2 linked regions of the Notamacropus eugenii genome follow. The protein of the gene in region 2 interacts with the protein of the main gene of each other region in a pairwise test. Links are inferred from orthologs where the notes say so. Each region holds a gene or a part of one and is shown on either strand. Other genes may lie near its edges.

What was found.
Region 1: the proteins of EEA1 (region 2) and RAB5B interact in binary tests that used the Homo sapiens proteins (3 or more experiments, as listed by UniProt). The link is inferred for Notamacropus eugenii from reciprocal best matches to the Homo sapiens genes EEA1 and RAB5B.

Annotation. Positions count from the first base shown.
Region 1 is NC_092874.1:231,171,239-231,179,055, reverse strand, and holds the start of RAB5B (ras-related protein Rab-5B), read right to left. Parts: upstream 3,125-7,817; 5' UTR 3,004-3,124; intron 1-3,003. Other genes in the region: CDK2 (cyclin-dependent kinase 2), read right to left, coding at 5,368-5,472, 5,829-6,032, 6,329-6,484, 7,483-7,584. UniProt on the Homo sapiens protein: The small GTPases Rab are key regulators of intracellular membrane trafficking, from the formation of transport vesicles to their fusion with membranes.
Region 2 is NC_092874.1:275,351,752-275,359,620, reverse strand, and holds the start of EEA1 (early endosome antigen 1), read left to right. Parts: upstream 1-4,830; 5' UTR 4,831-4,882; coding exon 4,883-4,915; exon of another isoform or gene 4,916-5,129; intron 5,130-7,869. UniProt on the Homo sapiens protein: Binds phospholipid vesicles containing phosphatidylinositol 3-phosphate and participates in endosomal trafficking.

The DNA of each region.
Region 1 (7,817 bases), about 44 Mb from region 2:
CCTGTTGTACTTGGCCCTGGTTGGAAAAAAACCTTTAGTACTGGGTTCCAGTCTCCACAAGACATTTATTTTAGGAAGAAAGGTGGAGCAAGCCAACCAAAATGGTGAGAAAAACAAATTTTCACTCAATATAAGGAAATACTTTCTAATGTCTAAAAATGGACAGGACTGCCTCCAAAACAGTGACCTACATCACTGTAGGTCTTTAAGCTGAGACAGGACAACCATTTTTGAAGTATTATCACAGAAAACTTCTACTCAGGTACAAATTAAACTAGATGACCTCATCATGTCCCTGCCAACTTGGATTCTATGATTGTGTGTGTGGTAACCTGTGGGCACCTCCACATAAGGGAAAACCTGAGGGAGAGAGTAAAAGAAGGACCTACCAACTATAGGGTAAAAAATGAGGAAGAATGGCACATAAGAAACTTTGTCTACCTCACAATTTTGTATAGGGCTGGTTCTGATGAAAGAATAGGAACTCTGGAAAGACAAGGAATTGAGCATTAAAGGTATGCTGATGAGAAACTTCCTAATGGCAGTAAGACAAGCTTCATTTGCAAGCCACTGGTCCATAATATCAAATACTTTCTTCTAAGAAAAGTGGTTCAAGTAGTACTGAAGTGGAAATCAACTCTGGAGCCAAGGAGACTCAAAAACCTAAGTCACTGGTAAAATCAACACATAGACAAAGGGGTCCAAAACTTGAGAAAGCCCATATCCTGGGGTAAGGAAATGGATGTCCTAAAGATCATATGGCAGTCAGAGACCCCAAACTAGAAGATAAAGGTCTCGGATTTTTCACTAGAGAATAGATCTCTCCTAAGCAAAGTACTATATTCCATGGCCATTCCCAGATTAGAAAGGTATTTGGGCAATATGGTTGGGAAGAATGTCCTAAGTTGCCTAACTGCAATCTGCAGAAAGATATGACAATGGGGAAATTATACCTATTATTATTATACCTAGAATATCAGGAATATTAGGATCATTAGCAGAGAAGCTATCTGCTTGAACAGCTGCAAATGCAACAAGTGAACAAAGTATCTGCTCAAGAAGGCAAAAGAGGCAGGGTAAAAGGAAACAGAACAGTGATGATCAATCATTGAAGAGGGACTAAGACAGGCATACCAAAAAGGAAGATGGAAATAAATTAGGAGGCAGAAGTCAGAGGGAGAGGGTAGGCAAAACTATCTTTGGCTACACAATCTTCTAAATAAGAGGGATGGGGTTGGGGAGAAAATTGATGTGATCTGAAGAACTTTGCCATCTCTTTCCTTTTTCAGGGTAAAATAGTGATGGGAAAGTATGATAATAAAAGACAAACCAAGAATAATTAAAAAAAGAAAAATTCTCAAGGGGGGAAAAACCAATAGGCCTCCAATCTTTGACCTCTTGGAAGGTCAATAATACAGCAAGGGCTTTGCTAGATAGGGATCTCAGAGGTGAATAATAGGGCCTCTCATCTCTGACTCTACAAACTGTAAGTCCTCTCATTCAAACCCTACAGATGCTGCCACTATACAACACCAACTCCCAATAGAAAAGAAACCAAGCCCATTAGTGACAGGTAGCTATGGACTGACAAACCAAGCTTCTGTGTAGAACATTTCCGCTCTAAGCCAAATCCTCTCATAGTAACCTCATCCAAGTTTTGAAAAAAATTTGGTCCATCCAATTCCATCACTAGGTAGGAAAGCCCACAGAGTCCCACAAATGAAAGTTCATCTAACTCTGCCTGGTAAGACCTTCAAGCACCTTTCTAAGATGATTAATTCAATCTCTTCCATTCCCTGCTTCTCAGTGGGGGGCAGAGCACCAATATTACCTTTTAATAAAACTAGGTGGGAATGAAGCTAATCATGCCCTCCTCAAACAAACTTTCTAGCTCCCTCACAAATGAAATTCTCAGGGAGACAAAAATTAGAAAGACTGAATGCTCCATTCAACTGTACTTTGTATGGAGTGGGGAAGAGGAGACTTGAGTTTGGGGCTGTCACCAAACATAGGAAAAAAACCCAAACATCATACCACACTGGTCTCTATTACTTCTGCTCTCTACCTCAGTGGCTATCAGGAATCTGTGACCACTCTCTCCCCTACAATGGGGTCACTCAAGTGGACAAGATGAGTAATTTCTTACTCTCTGGAACCCATAGTCTCCCAAAAGCTCCTTAACTGATCCCAAAGCTTCTGTCAAGTTTCTCAACTTCTCTATTCCTCTAGCTTAAATAAAATTTACTTCTTTCACCTTAACTCTTTCCACTGAGTCCAAATCTCCCTCAGTTAAACTCCTTAAGTTACCATTAAAGTTCTGTCATTACCCCCCATCCCTTTTGATATCTTCTCTACTTAAGTTCGACTCTAATTTATCACTCACCTCATCCTCCCAATTCATTCTTATTTCCATCCATTGAACAGCTCCCTGGCAGCCCAGCTCCAGTAACCCCCTCACCTCCTCGATGCAGCCCATCAGGCTGACAGGTGTGGCCCCTCCACCACCCATCCCCACCTTGGCACCCTACATATGGGATTATTTCATCCACCCCTCCAAACCCTTTTCTCCAAGGACTGGATCTAGTCCCCCTTCTTCGCCACCCCCAATTAAGCCAACCCCAAGCAATCCCCTTTAGTCTGCAGGGCCCAACCCCCCCTGCACTCCTCACCTCCAGAATGAGCCAGGCCCACCCTATCACATCCCACCCCAACCAGAGCCAGGCCTAACTGGGTCCAAACACCTCCCAGCTCGTCTTCTTACCTTTTCCAATACACCCCAGACCCCTGCCCACCAACTTCGCTCTCCCTTCCCCCCAGTCCCCCGACTCAAGAGCTCCCCGTTAGGCCTGCCCATCCCTGCCCCCTTCATCCTCAGTCCCTCCCTGGCTCCGGAGGGTGCCGAAGTCCGTTCCCTTTACCCCCCTCAAAGCAGGGCCTCCCTCCTTGTCAGTTCACCCGCGCCTCCTTCCGCCCCAGCCCCTCCGACTCCACCAGCCCCAGTACCTAAGCCTCCGACTACCCAATCGGGCCCGAGCCTGTGTCGAACAGACAAACAGCTGCAAGTCAACCAAACCCTTCTCCACCTCCTCCTCCTTCTCCTCACCCTGGGGCGGCGGCCTTGACCAATAGCAGCTTCCCCCACCCACCGCCGGAGGTGGGGCTTACGTCGACACATTCGCCAATCGCCTTTGGGGAGGTGGGTTCTTCCAGCATTGTCGCTAACGCATACGAGAGAGGGCCCTGACGGACGAAACACGCAACCAATAGACAACGAAGCTCCATGCAAATGAGCAGCCATTAAAGAGCGAGGTTTCCGAGGTAAGAGGCGGTGCGCTGTTAACGGACGTCTGTAGCGACCAATGGAATCTCGACACCCAACGAACCTCCCCCTCCTCCTTTCGACTCATAAACATCTAATCAGGTGAGCAATGGGGGGAGGATCTTGGCAGAGAACTGACCAATCGTGTCACGAATTAAAGAATCTGCTTGGCAAACGAGGCGGGGCAGAAAGGAAGCCTTACGTTAACCTTCGCCCCCCAAGTTTGGAGTTGATACCAGGTAGCATCAGCCGTGAGCAATTTGGAGATGAACCTTAAACATTTCTTACCTAGAAGGATCTTTTCACTTGATTGGACAGGGGAAGGGGGAGGGGAATGAAGGTAGAGGAAATGTTCACTTCCGGGGGTCGGGGCAAAGGTCATGACCCCTTTTGCTTGGTGTCTGCCTTTTGACTGAGTTTCCAAAGTGGAGACTTTCCATCCTGGGTCTTAAAGGATAGGAAGATACAGGTGTGGTCTATCGCCGGGTCCGAGGGGCCGGACCCAATGGTCTGTGTGACCCCCACTTAAAGCAGGCGGGAGGCGGGGGCAAGGCGGGAAGAACTGAGCTCCGTTCCGGCTTCCTCCCGCCAGCTTCCAGAGCTTCTCTCTGGGCCTGCCTGACTTCAGTCATTTTTATGTTGGAGACCCAGCCCTGGGAAAGTCCCATCACTAGACCCTGCCCTCCATTTCCCCGAATCCCAAGGATAAAAGAAACAGACTATCAAACTAGGAACTTTCTTTTAATGAATTAGGAACTAAATTACAAATAACATTAACAGAGACTGGGTGGGGGGAGGGGTTGGGAGTGAGGACGCACACGACCATAGGAAGACAAAAATATTTTTTTTAATATTTCCCTTACAAAACCCTAAAGGTGCACACGGCAGCAAAATTCCTCCCCGATTTAAAAAAAACAAAACAAACACAAACAAAAAACTACTACAACCTGGAATATAAATAGTATTGTCCTTCTTTCCAACAAATATTCTCTGGCATTCCCATTGCCCAGTCACAACCTTCCCTTTAAAAAGTGTCAGGCATTCTCACAATGACTTTTAACCTTATGCCGTGGCCCCAGTTTTGAGTTTCCTTCATTGGAGGATAGGAGGCAGAGATGCTCAACAGTTAAGTGAAAGAAACTAGAGGCCAATTCCAAAAGAGATGGAAAAATCAAACACCTCCCACCCTTATAAGGCAGCAGTGAAGTAGTCATGGATCAGAATGAAGAACAATTCTCCCTCTCTTCTCCCTTTGTTTCCATCCTTCACCCCAAGTTCAGTTTTTGCCAAATGGATAGAGGGGTGGCAGACAAGGGAGCTCGAGCTAGGGCTAATTAGTTCTATGGCAGCACTTACTAGGACTGGTTTTTATTTCTCCAGCTTATGAGGGGAGATGAGCACTCTGGGGTACAAAATCTGGTTTTATCTTATTTTCTTTTTAAAAAATTCACAAGGAAAAGCATACACACACACACACACACACACACAACAAAACAAAAATACACAATTATTTAAAAGGGGCCTTGTGGAATGTCCTTTCAAAGCTTCCCACCTAGCCCTCTGCTTATAGTAAGTCCTATATAAACAGTAGCAGCAGGAGGATGGGAGGGGTATGCTGAAAATCCTATGTGTCACTCCCAAACTCAGGAGACAATCATCACCAGACAGAAGTCCTAGGTAGGGGGTGGTTTGTCAGACAGTGGGGAGCCCTGAGGTCCTGTCTTTTGTCCATCCCCCTCAGCATAGATCAGGAGCTGAGGCTTCAGGGTCTGTCTCACTGCTCATGCCCTAGAAGGAGGCAGTGGAAGGCAGATGTTGGCTTAAGTGCATTGAATACTGAATCTCCCTTTCATTTCCTACCCCTCCCAATCCCCAGCTATCCCCAAAATGGGTAGAGCAGGAAAAGGGAGATGGTAAGTTGAGAGTTAGGGGCAGCCAAATTGGCTCTCCCTGACCCCTATCTAAGTTCAAACAGCCCCAGAGCCAGGCCAGGGCTGATCTACCCTAGAAGGTGAGGATAGGATTGGGGGGTAGGGGCACAGCATGGCTCAGAGTCGCAAGTGGGGTACAGGCTTGGTAACATCCAGGAAGAAGGGATGAGTTAGAGCTGCCTTGGCTGAAACACGCTTGTTAGGGTCATAGTGCAGCATTTGCTGGAGGAAGAAAAGGAAATTATTATTAAGAGGGATGTCTGTGTGGCTGGGTGAGGGACAAGCTACTTAAAACACAATCCCACCCACCCTCCATCTTCTACACAGATGGGCCATTTCTGCAATTTACTATACCATCTGACTCAACTTCAACCCCTATTCCCTCTAAGCTTTGCTGGGCAACCACCGAGGAAAGACAAGGCACAGAAAGAAGGCTCTTCTTTAGGAAATGGTAAGACCTTTGAGTCCAAGGGACCTGACTTCTTCCTGACTCTCCAGGTGAGGGGCAGTGTGACTTGGGTTGGGGGATTGTGAGGTACAAAGAAAGAGGTTGATTTCTTCCCTCCTTCCTAGCTTACCGATAGCAAGCTCCGTCCATCTTCGTCCAGTGGAGGCACCACCTTACTGAAATCTTGTCGTGCCCACTTGGGGAAACTGGGTTTATAATCAGGCATGGAAGTCACTCCTGGCCAAGCTACCTCATCTGGTGTCCCCAGTGTCCGAAAGATCCTGAATAGCTGGTCAATTTCAGAGTCTCCAGGGAATAAAGCCCTACGGGTAATCTAGAAAGTAGAAGAAGAGGGGGACAGGAGTGATGTAGATGAACCCCTCCCTGCACATAGAGTAGAGGTTCCCACAGGCAGTGAAAGGTCAATGGGACCCCATGACTCCCCCCAGGGCCCTTCACGGGGTCAGTCACACTTGAGCCTGAGACAATAAAGCCCCTTTATTATCTCCACGCCTCCTCCTTCCCTCCCCCAACCATGGCTTTTCAGATCCCCCTAGGCTGGGGTGGGGGGGTTGGGGTAGGGTGAGTGGGGACCACTGATGTGCAGCAAGGGGATCCCAAGCCACTCACGGGGTGTGGGGTGGGCATTGAAGTCATCCCCCCTCCTTGTGATGCAGCCACTTCTAGATAGGAGTACAGAGGGCAGGGACTGTGTCTTCCACTTCTTCTGTTATCCCCCACAGCACCTAGCACAGTGCTGGGCACACAGTAGGTGCTTAATAAATCCTTGTTGATTGATTGAAACAGGAATATGGGCAATCGTAAGGTAATGCATTAAGGGACAAATAACCCATACTATATTTTTAAGATGATGGGTTCTGAGCCCTTAGCTCAGTTTCCTCATCTATAAAATGAGGGGGATAGACTAGATGACCTTCAAGGTCCAGGAAAGGAACCTGGGAATAAGCTCTCAATAAATATCTGTTGTTGATTTGAAGATACTGGGCCAATGTGTTGCTTTGGCCCAAAAGACCTATAAAAGGCTAAGAGTTGTCAGGGAAGATATTGGTAACAAAAGGGAAAACATTAATCCCACCCTTGTCCAAAACCATGGTACATCTGTACCTGGAATACTGGGTACAGTTCAGGTTACTGCGTCTCAAGAGAGATTATCACTGAAACTGGAGAAGATTCAGAAGGATAATTTAAATAATCAAGGGGATGGGGGAGGGGCTCTCACATGACTAAAAATATTAAGAATCTTCTGTTGGTAAAGTCAAAAGTTGAGAGCATATGCTCAAAGTCTATAAAAATAAAAAATAGTATAAATAAAGCTCCCTAAATTCTGTGTTATTAGAACCAGGAGAGGTACCCTAGGAAGTTGAAGGAGGAAACTTTAGGCTGAGTACAGGAAATACTACTTCCCATAGTAGGAAGTAAACTTTTGGAGAGCATGAAATAGCTATAAAAATAAGTTTATCTGTAAATTAATGGTGACAGAGCTACAGTGGACTATTAAAAGAAATGAAGATTTTGTCAGGGGACTATCGTACCATTTAAAGTCACTACCAGGGAAGAAAAGCATACCCACCCACCCCATCCCACTTCCACAATACTTCCCTTGCTATCAGAAACTAATGTAGGGCTGGATGGAGCATAGGTCTTAACCAGTGTGGCAGTTCTTAAGCATTCTCATGCCATGAGATAGAAGGGGATGTATGTGTGTGTGGTAGAGGGAGAAGGTGGGAGATTGGTGAGGATTAGGGTCAGGGTCTACAACATACCATCTCTGCAAAGATACAACCCAGGCTCCATATATCTACAGCTGTTGAGTAGTATTTACAACCCAAGAGGATTTCTGGTGCTCGATACCACAGGGTTACCACCTGAATGGAATGGAAAGGTTGGTGATGTTTAGATAGTAGGGAAATCCGAAGCCTTTTGACACCATTCCCTAAAAACTCCAATCTTTAGAATAACTTTTCCTCTCTAAAACCTGTCCCTCCCACTGTTTTACCCCTAATAATCTTTTCCAACCTCAGATCAGTTCAACACGTGGTGCTTACCCTTGCCATGCAATTTCTTTTATGTGCTTCTATTCAACTATCCCAGCTTTGCA
Region 2 (7,869 bases):
GCCCTTTGGGTGAGCCTTAGAATCAATCACACAAAGCATGTGTAGATAAAAATGAAAAATCACATATTTATGTTTTTTTCTTCCAAAAGATTTGCAAGTGCCCTGTAAAATGACACATTATTCAGAGAGAGACAGGGACAGAGAGACAGAAAGACAGACAGAAACAGAGACAGAGAGACACAGAGATAGAGATGCAGAGACAGAAATAGAGAGACAGAGAAAGGGACAGAGAGACACAGAGATAGAGATAGAGATACAGAGAAACACAGAAACAGATATAAGGAAACAGACAGAGTCAGACAGAAACAGGGAGGGACAGAGAGACAAACAGAGACAGATAAAGAAACAGAGACAGAAAGAAACAGCAGGACAGAGAGATAGGCAGAAACCCTCTAGCTCTGGTTTGAGGCTACTGCTTGGAAAGCTAGGGTAGAAGGAAGTAGGCAGGTGAGCTCAACTCAGCTTTTTATAGCAGAGCTTCCAATTTGAATTATTCTTGATAATTAGGTGCCACACTTAATAGTCTCTGCATTTCTAATAGAATGCAAATTCTGTCAAGTTCTATGAGGCAGCTAAGTGGCTGATAAGAGTGCTGGATCTGGAGTCGGGAAGACCTCACTTCAAAACTGGGTGACCCTGGACAAGTCAATTAACTTCTGTCTGCTTCCTCAAGTTCCTCAACAATAAAAAGGGGGAAAAAAAAGAAAACAAAAAGAATAAAAGGAGGTCATAACAGCATCTACCTTCCAGGGTTGCTATAAGAATCAAATAAGTCAATATTTGCAAAATGTTTAGCACAGTGCCTGAGACAATGATACATACCTATTGCTTTCCCCTTCTGTCCCTGCTCTCTAAATTCAGTACACCGTGTCAAAATACTGCTTACCCCACTTTAGTTATGTCTCCACTGATATTAAAAAGATTTTAGCAATAGAAAGGGATCTATTTCAACTCCTTTACTTTAGGATCCAGAGAAGTTAAATGATTTATTCAGCGGCTATTCTAGTTAGTGATAGAGCTAGGAAATAGAACTTGCCCTTCTAATTGGTTCATTGGTCTTGTGACCACATTTTTTCCCCATTCATTTATAAAATAGGATAATGTTATTGGCACCAAAGATTTATTATGAGATTGCTTGGTACCTAGCACTTATTTAAGCACCTAATGGAGGCAGTGCATTATACTAGCTGCAGGGGGCTGAAGGGAGATACCAAGACTGTAAGACTTAAAGATTCCAGAGCTGATAGTCCAGAAGGGGCAATATGCATAAATCGGTGCCTATAATACAAAATGTTATGTGATTAAAGAAGTACAAAATGCTATGTGAGAGCTGAGGGAGAAAGTATTACTAACTGGGTGTGAGGATCAATGAAAGTTTTATGGAGGAGGTGTCATTTAAAAGCATTCCGGTTCCCACAACTGGCAGGGAGGGAGGGATGGGGGAAAAAGCAATCAAGACCAAAAATAAACCTAACAAACAATGATAAAAAGTTGGGAGAGCGTGGAACGACTATGGGAGATGGCAAGAGAATCAGTTTGACTAAAGTACAGATATCTATCAGAGAGAAGTGCTGAGATAAGGTTAGAACCACAAGGTGATACCACAGGATTACTCAATTACTGATTTTATACTCAAACATTTATACTCAATTGGGCAGCTAGGTGGTATAGTGGCTAGAGAGCCAGGTCTGGAGTCAGGAAGACGAGTTCAAATGCAGCCTCAGATACTTATTAGCTGTGTGCCTCTGGGCAAGTTACTTAACCCTATTTGGCTCAGTTTCCTCACCTGTAAAATGACCTCTAGAAGGAAATAGCAAGCTACTTCAGTGTCTTCATCAAGAAAACCCCAAATGGGGTCAGGAAGGGTTGGACAGGACTCAAGAGTAACAAAAACACTTAATTGATAAGACAATAGTGAGTCACTGAAAATTTCTAAGGATTAGGAAAGCTTTTTCTTTCTGACTAGACTCAGCACTCCATCTGCTATGCCACCTAATAGAACTTGACACAACTTGCATCCCATTAGACATGGATCATAAAGGGCAAAGTGGTGAAAGGTGATTTGGAAGTGGAGGTGGTGGTAGTGAGGAAACCAGAGCAGAAAGGTGTGTAGGATGGAGGAGGGTATGGTAATACTTCAGCTCAGCTAGGCAACAAATGGGGGACATAGGGTTGGAGAAGTGAGAATGAGGAACAAGTTTTGGTGAAATAGTTATGGGAATTATTTTGTAGACAGAATCCACAGGAATTGTAAGGAATGAAGAGGACAGTCCAGGGTTAGGAACATGGGAGATGGGGTGCCAAAGACACCACAACAAGGAGAGGAGAAAGTACAATTTCAGACAGATAGAGTTTTAATACTTGTAGTACTATCCAGAAGATAATTATCTTCATGGAGAGCAGGGATTGTTTTTTGACTCTTTGTACTGCACCAAATAAATGCTGACTTAATTAAAAATGATTGACTGGAGTTCGGAGAGGTGGAATCCTGATCTGGACTTTGGGATGTGTGATAATAATACATAGGAGAGGCTCATAGGTTCATATATTTAGAAATTCGAGTAGCCTGAGACGTTACCCAACCGCTAAGAAAGCAAGAAAGGAAGAAAGGAAGGAAGGAAGGAAGGAAGGAAGGAAGGAAGAAAGAAAAAGAAAGAAAGAAAGAAAAACTGTGACCTAAAGTGGCTTAATGACTTGCCTAAGATTATGCAGGTAAGGACAAAACTTGGGGCAATATCAGTATCATGGAGGAAGAAGGCTGAGCATTTTAATGAGCACGAGCTGATTAAGTTAGAGGCAGGTTGGCTTGGTGAATCAAAGGCTCGAAGATTCCCGAAATCAGCCCCACCTCTGACACCTTCTGGCCGCAGGCTCCAAGGCTGCTCATGTGACTTCTCGGGGTCCCAGGAAACTGTGAGACAGAATAGCTTGTGTGTGTGTAATGTGCATGAAACACGCACGTGTGTAACGTACACGAAATATACATGGGTGTAATATACACGAAACATACATGGGTGTAACATACACGAAACATACATGGGTGAAATATACACGAAACGTAAGCGGGTGTAGTATACACGAACTATACCCGGGTGTAATATACACGAACTATACACGGGTGTAACATACACGAAACATACATGGGTGTAACATACACGAAACATACATGGGTGTAACATACACGAAACATACATGGGTGTAACATACACGAAACATACATGGGTGTAACACACGAAACATACATGGGTGAAATATACACGAAACGTAAGCGGGTGTAACATACACGAAACATGCCCGCGTGTGTGTAACGCGCACGAAATATGCATTGTTAGAGTTAGCCAGAGCGGTCAAACGTCAGATTCTGTCCAGAAGAGGAAAGAAATTCCATTATACAAAAAGTCACATTCCAGACTCGTCTCCCCGGGAGCCCCATCTTTCCTGGGTAGGGCTGCGGGGGGATTCGCCGACGCCGGAGGCGAGGAAGGGGAGGACGAAGAGCGGAGTGGGGAGGAGGGGCAGGAGGCCAGTTTCGGGGTTCTCCGTCGGGGGTGGCGGGCAGGGTTGCCCAGCAGTTCCCCGGTGTCAGGGTGGCTGCGGATGCCAGGGCTGCCCCGCCAAGCTCCGGGCCCCCTCAGCCGTTGGCCGTGGGGGAGGACGAAGCCCGGTCCGGAGCGAGCCCCCGAGGGTCCGAGGGTGGGACTTCTCAGCCTTCGGTCTCGCGCCCTGACCCCGGCCGGGGTGGGGAAGGTGGCGCACGCGCGCCCCACCCGCCGGAAGGCTCCGTCCGCTCGCTAGTTAGTCAGCCTTTCGCCCACGCACGCCCCGCCCCCGCCGGCCTGGATTGGCCCCTGCCTCCGGCTCCGCCCCTAGGGGAGGGTCCGGACGGGCTCTCTCGGCTCCCTCTTCCCGCCCGGGGCCGGGAGGTGGCGCCCCCGCCCCCGCTGTCAGTGGCCGCGCGACTGCGCGCTCCCTCCTCGAAGACCGGCCGAGTGAGGGGCCGTGGAGGCTGCCCGAGCGGCCGCCGCCCTCCTGCCCTGGCTCGGGCCCCGAGCTCCACCATGCTCCGGCGGATCTTGCAGCGGGTAAGAGCCGAGGGCCGTGGCGGCGGCAGGCCCCGGGGCCGGCCGCGAGATTAGGCCTCTGAGCGGGAGCGGGGCGGATTAGGGGGTGGGGTGGGGTCGCGCTCCCTCTGAGGTGTGAGGGGGAGGGGCGGGGCCGGGCGGGGGCGCACGCGCTCTGGGGTGTGTTTGTGGCCGGGGGCCGCGCTCCGCGCCCCTCCCTCCGGGCTGCCGTTACGGCGACCGTCTGGACTACGGTGTCATTGAGAACGTGGCGGCCCGAGCCGGGGCTGGGGTGGGAGGGGTGGGGGATGGTGGAGGGGCGGGGCCTCGCCCGCCCCGCCCCCGCTGACCTTTAGGCAGCGACCCTCAGGGCGTCCCCTTCCCCGGCCGCAGGGGCACGTGGGTGACTCGGGGCGCCCTAGGAGCCCCACGTGCTCCTCCCCCGATCGCTGCCAGGTCACGGGAAGCCGAGGTCCTCCGGATGCGCCCCGGGGCCTGGCACGCAGGAGGCGCTGCCCAAGTGTGTGCGCACCTCGGGGAGGTGGGGGTCCCACCACCCGGACCCAGGCAGGCGGGAGCCAGAAGCCTTGCTGGGCCGATCCGAGGACGAAGGAAGTGCGGGGTTGGAAGCCGTGGTGGTGGTGGTGCGGCCAGGGTGGCCACCCAGGAGAGTTGAGTCATCCAGTGCCTGCCCGAGGGAGTGTGCCAGCTTCTCTCAGCTGGCTGGCCCTGTCAGTGTCATGTAGAACTTGGTCATGTATCCAGGGGAAGTGGAAGAACCAGGGCGTTCGGATCGGACGCTCTAAAAAAGACGAGTTCGGATGTCCAAAGGGCTGCGCGGAGCCTCTTCCTTTGTAAGAGGACTCTAGTAATAAGGGCAGGTCCTGGCTTCTGTTCAGCAGAAAAGACGTCTTCGTGTCATTTACTTGCAACATGTAACTCATTTTCAGGAACCCTTTCTCTTATGCCTCAGATTTGTTCTGTAGCTGAAGATAGTTGGCCTAGGATTTGTGTAAAGGTTTATGATGAAAAGAAAGTGTTTAAGGACTTCAAGGTGCCTTCTGAAAGGTATGTGGAGAGAGCTGCCAGAAAATTCAGGATACTTTGAAGTAGTGCTGGTTAATACTGTGAGGAATTAAGGTTAGGCAAATTTATTTGTTTTTCCTTGTTGATAGGAGGAAATAAATAGTGTTGGAGATTCCAAAGGAAAACAAGAAATTGGGATTAATGTATGTAAGCAGATAAGTATTTTATGAAGCTATCAAAACAGGAGGAACAAGTTGGTGAAATCTTTTGATGTTAATTACAGGTATTTCCATTGTGAACTTAAAGTTTCCAAAGCTAGCTGTTACACTTTGATTAAAATGTAACCCTCATGTAATTTAGAACTTAAGGACATTTTTAAATCATTCTAGAAACAATCATTTTTTTTAACCTCCTGAATTTTTTTGAATAAGAATACAGTAATTATAATGCAGTTAGTGTTTACCTTTTTTTTAAAGGGGTATGGTTAGTATGTACAAACAGGTATAACTTGAATCTTTAAGTTGTGTCACATGGCAACATTTTAATTTCACCCCACCCTGACAACCTGGTATTTCTTGTAAGAAGAAATGACATTAGACAAACTGAAGTATGTTTAGACAGTATGTTGGGAAATGGTCCGCATACTGTAAACTGTGTTATATATCATTTAGTGTTGTGGTCTTTGATGACCTTTTTGTTTCAGTCACAATTGTTTTTCTTTAGAAAAGTGCTCTTTAAGTAACATTTTTAAAAGAAGCAGCAAATCTTGTACTTACTATTATTTATAACTTTGAACCTAACCCCAAAAAGTACTAAAAGGGGATGGGATCTAGAGCTGGAAGGGACCTTAGAGGGCATTTAATTCATTAATTTGCTAATTAAGAAACTGAGACCCAGAAAAGTTAAAGTGACTCATCTTGAAATTACCCAGTTCTGAGAAATGGCTTATCTGGGATTATGCCAGTCAGTCAAACACACAGGTAATTGAGCTTCAATCTAATACCGAATTTTATTGTTGCGGTTTTAACAAATTATATTGGATCATAGAATCATGAATGTAGAGCTGGAAAGGTCTTCAGAATTCTGGTCCAGCTTCCTTACTTTGTAGAAGAGGTGATGAAGCAGAAAGTGGCTTACTTGGGATTCAAATTCAAGTCTGTGACTCGAGGTTCAATATTCTTTTCCATTACACCATGCTGCATTCCTAAATGTACCTTCTTAAAGCATCATGATCCTGCCCCTCCCCCCCCATACCTATCTTGTTACCTATCCAGAGCCCTAGCTTAGTTACTCATAGTTGCATCCCACCTATCTAGTCTGAGAGATACCTATGAGGTTCACTTTGCCTCCTTGTGTTTAGGGCCTGTAATTCAAATCCTTTGTAGAAGGTGCAGAACTTTGCAGGTAGCTTGCTCTCTATTTTCCATCGGTAGCTCTACCTCGTTTCTACCACATTATGCTCAAGTGTGGGGTACTGAGATACAAATGTAGATGTCAGCACTTCCTCCCTTCAAAGAGCTCACATTCTAATAGGGATATAAAGCACATTAGTTGATAAATACAGGATATCTTCAAAATAAATACATTGGTTTGAGGAGCTATTAACACTTGGCAGAATCACGAAAGTCCACTTGAAGTAGGTAATACCTGAGTGAGCCTTAAAGGGAGCTTCTGGTTTCAAGAGTTGGAGAAGAGGAAAGAGGACTTTTCAGACTTGAGAGCCAGCTTGTGCCAGGGCCTGGACACAAGAGATGTTTGGATTGTAGAGTGCATGAGGGGTGGAATATGTAATGAGCCCTAAAAGATGCGGGAGCCAGATTGTCAAGGGTTCTAAATGCTAAACAGACAAGTTTGTATATTGTTCTATCCTAGAAGCAATAGGAAACCACTGAAACTTCTTGAGCAGAGGAGTGCCTTGGCCAGACCTCTAATTTAGGTATATCAGTTGAGCTGCAGTGTGTAAGATGGATTGATGGAGAAGAGAGAGAATGAAGGCAGGGGTCCCAATTAGGAGGTTATTGAACAGTCCAGAATAGAGGTTTAGGGAGGTTGTGGTATGAGTAGATTGAAGAGGACAGAAAGGAGAAATGTTAAGGGTGTAGAGAATGAGTTGAGAATGAGTAGTCAAGGATGATTTCTAGTTTGTGAACCTCTCTAGAAGGCCAGTTCTTGAACACTCAAATTAAGGAGCTCTCAGACTTGCATCAGTGCTCAAATTTTGGATTATCTACAAGGTAATAACCTTCTAAGCCTGGAAAAAGTCCTCATAAGATCTCTCCTAAGATCCTGCCTGGGTAAATGAAAGGTTAGTGGCACTTTCAACATAATATAAGGAAGTTGGATAGAGGGGCAGTGAGTTTGGAGGGAAAGATAATGAGTTCGATTTTGGATGTATTGTGTTTGAGATGGCTCTGCCACATGCAAGTGGAGACTTCATGCAGATTGTTGAAGAGATGTGAACTAGAACTTAAGAGAGGAATGAAGTCTGGATATTTAAATTTGGAAGACATTTGCCTGAAGATCTTGGTTGAAAATCCATGGGAGCTGAGATCAGTGAAATGTAGAAAGAGAAAAGGAGGAAGCCCAGGACAGAGCAGTTGGGAAACATTTCCTCATAAGGAGCTGGTATTGCATGGAGATGAAAAGCAGATCAAGAAGGAATGCTTCAGCAGGTAGGAAGAGAACCAAGAAGACTCAGGGAAAAATGGAGGAGATGGTAGTCATAGTCAAACATAGTAGAGAGATCAAGAAAGATGAGACCCATGAAAGGCTGCTGGATTCA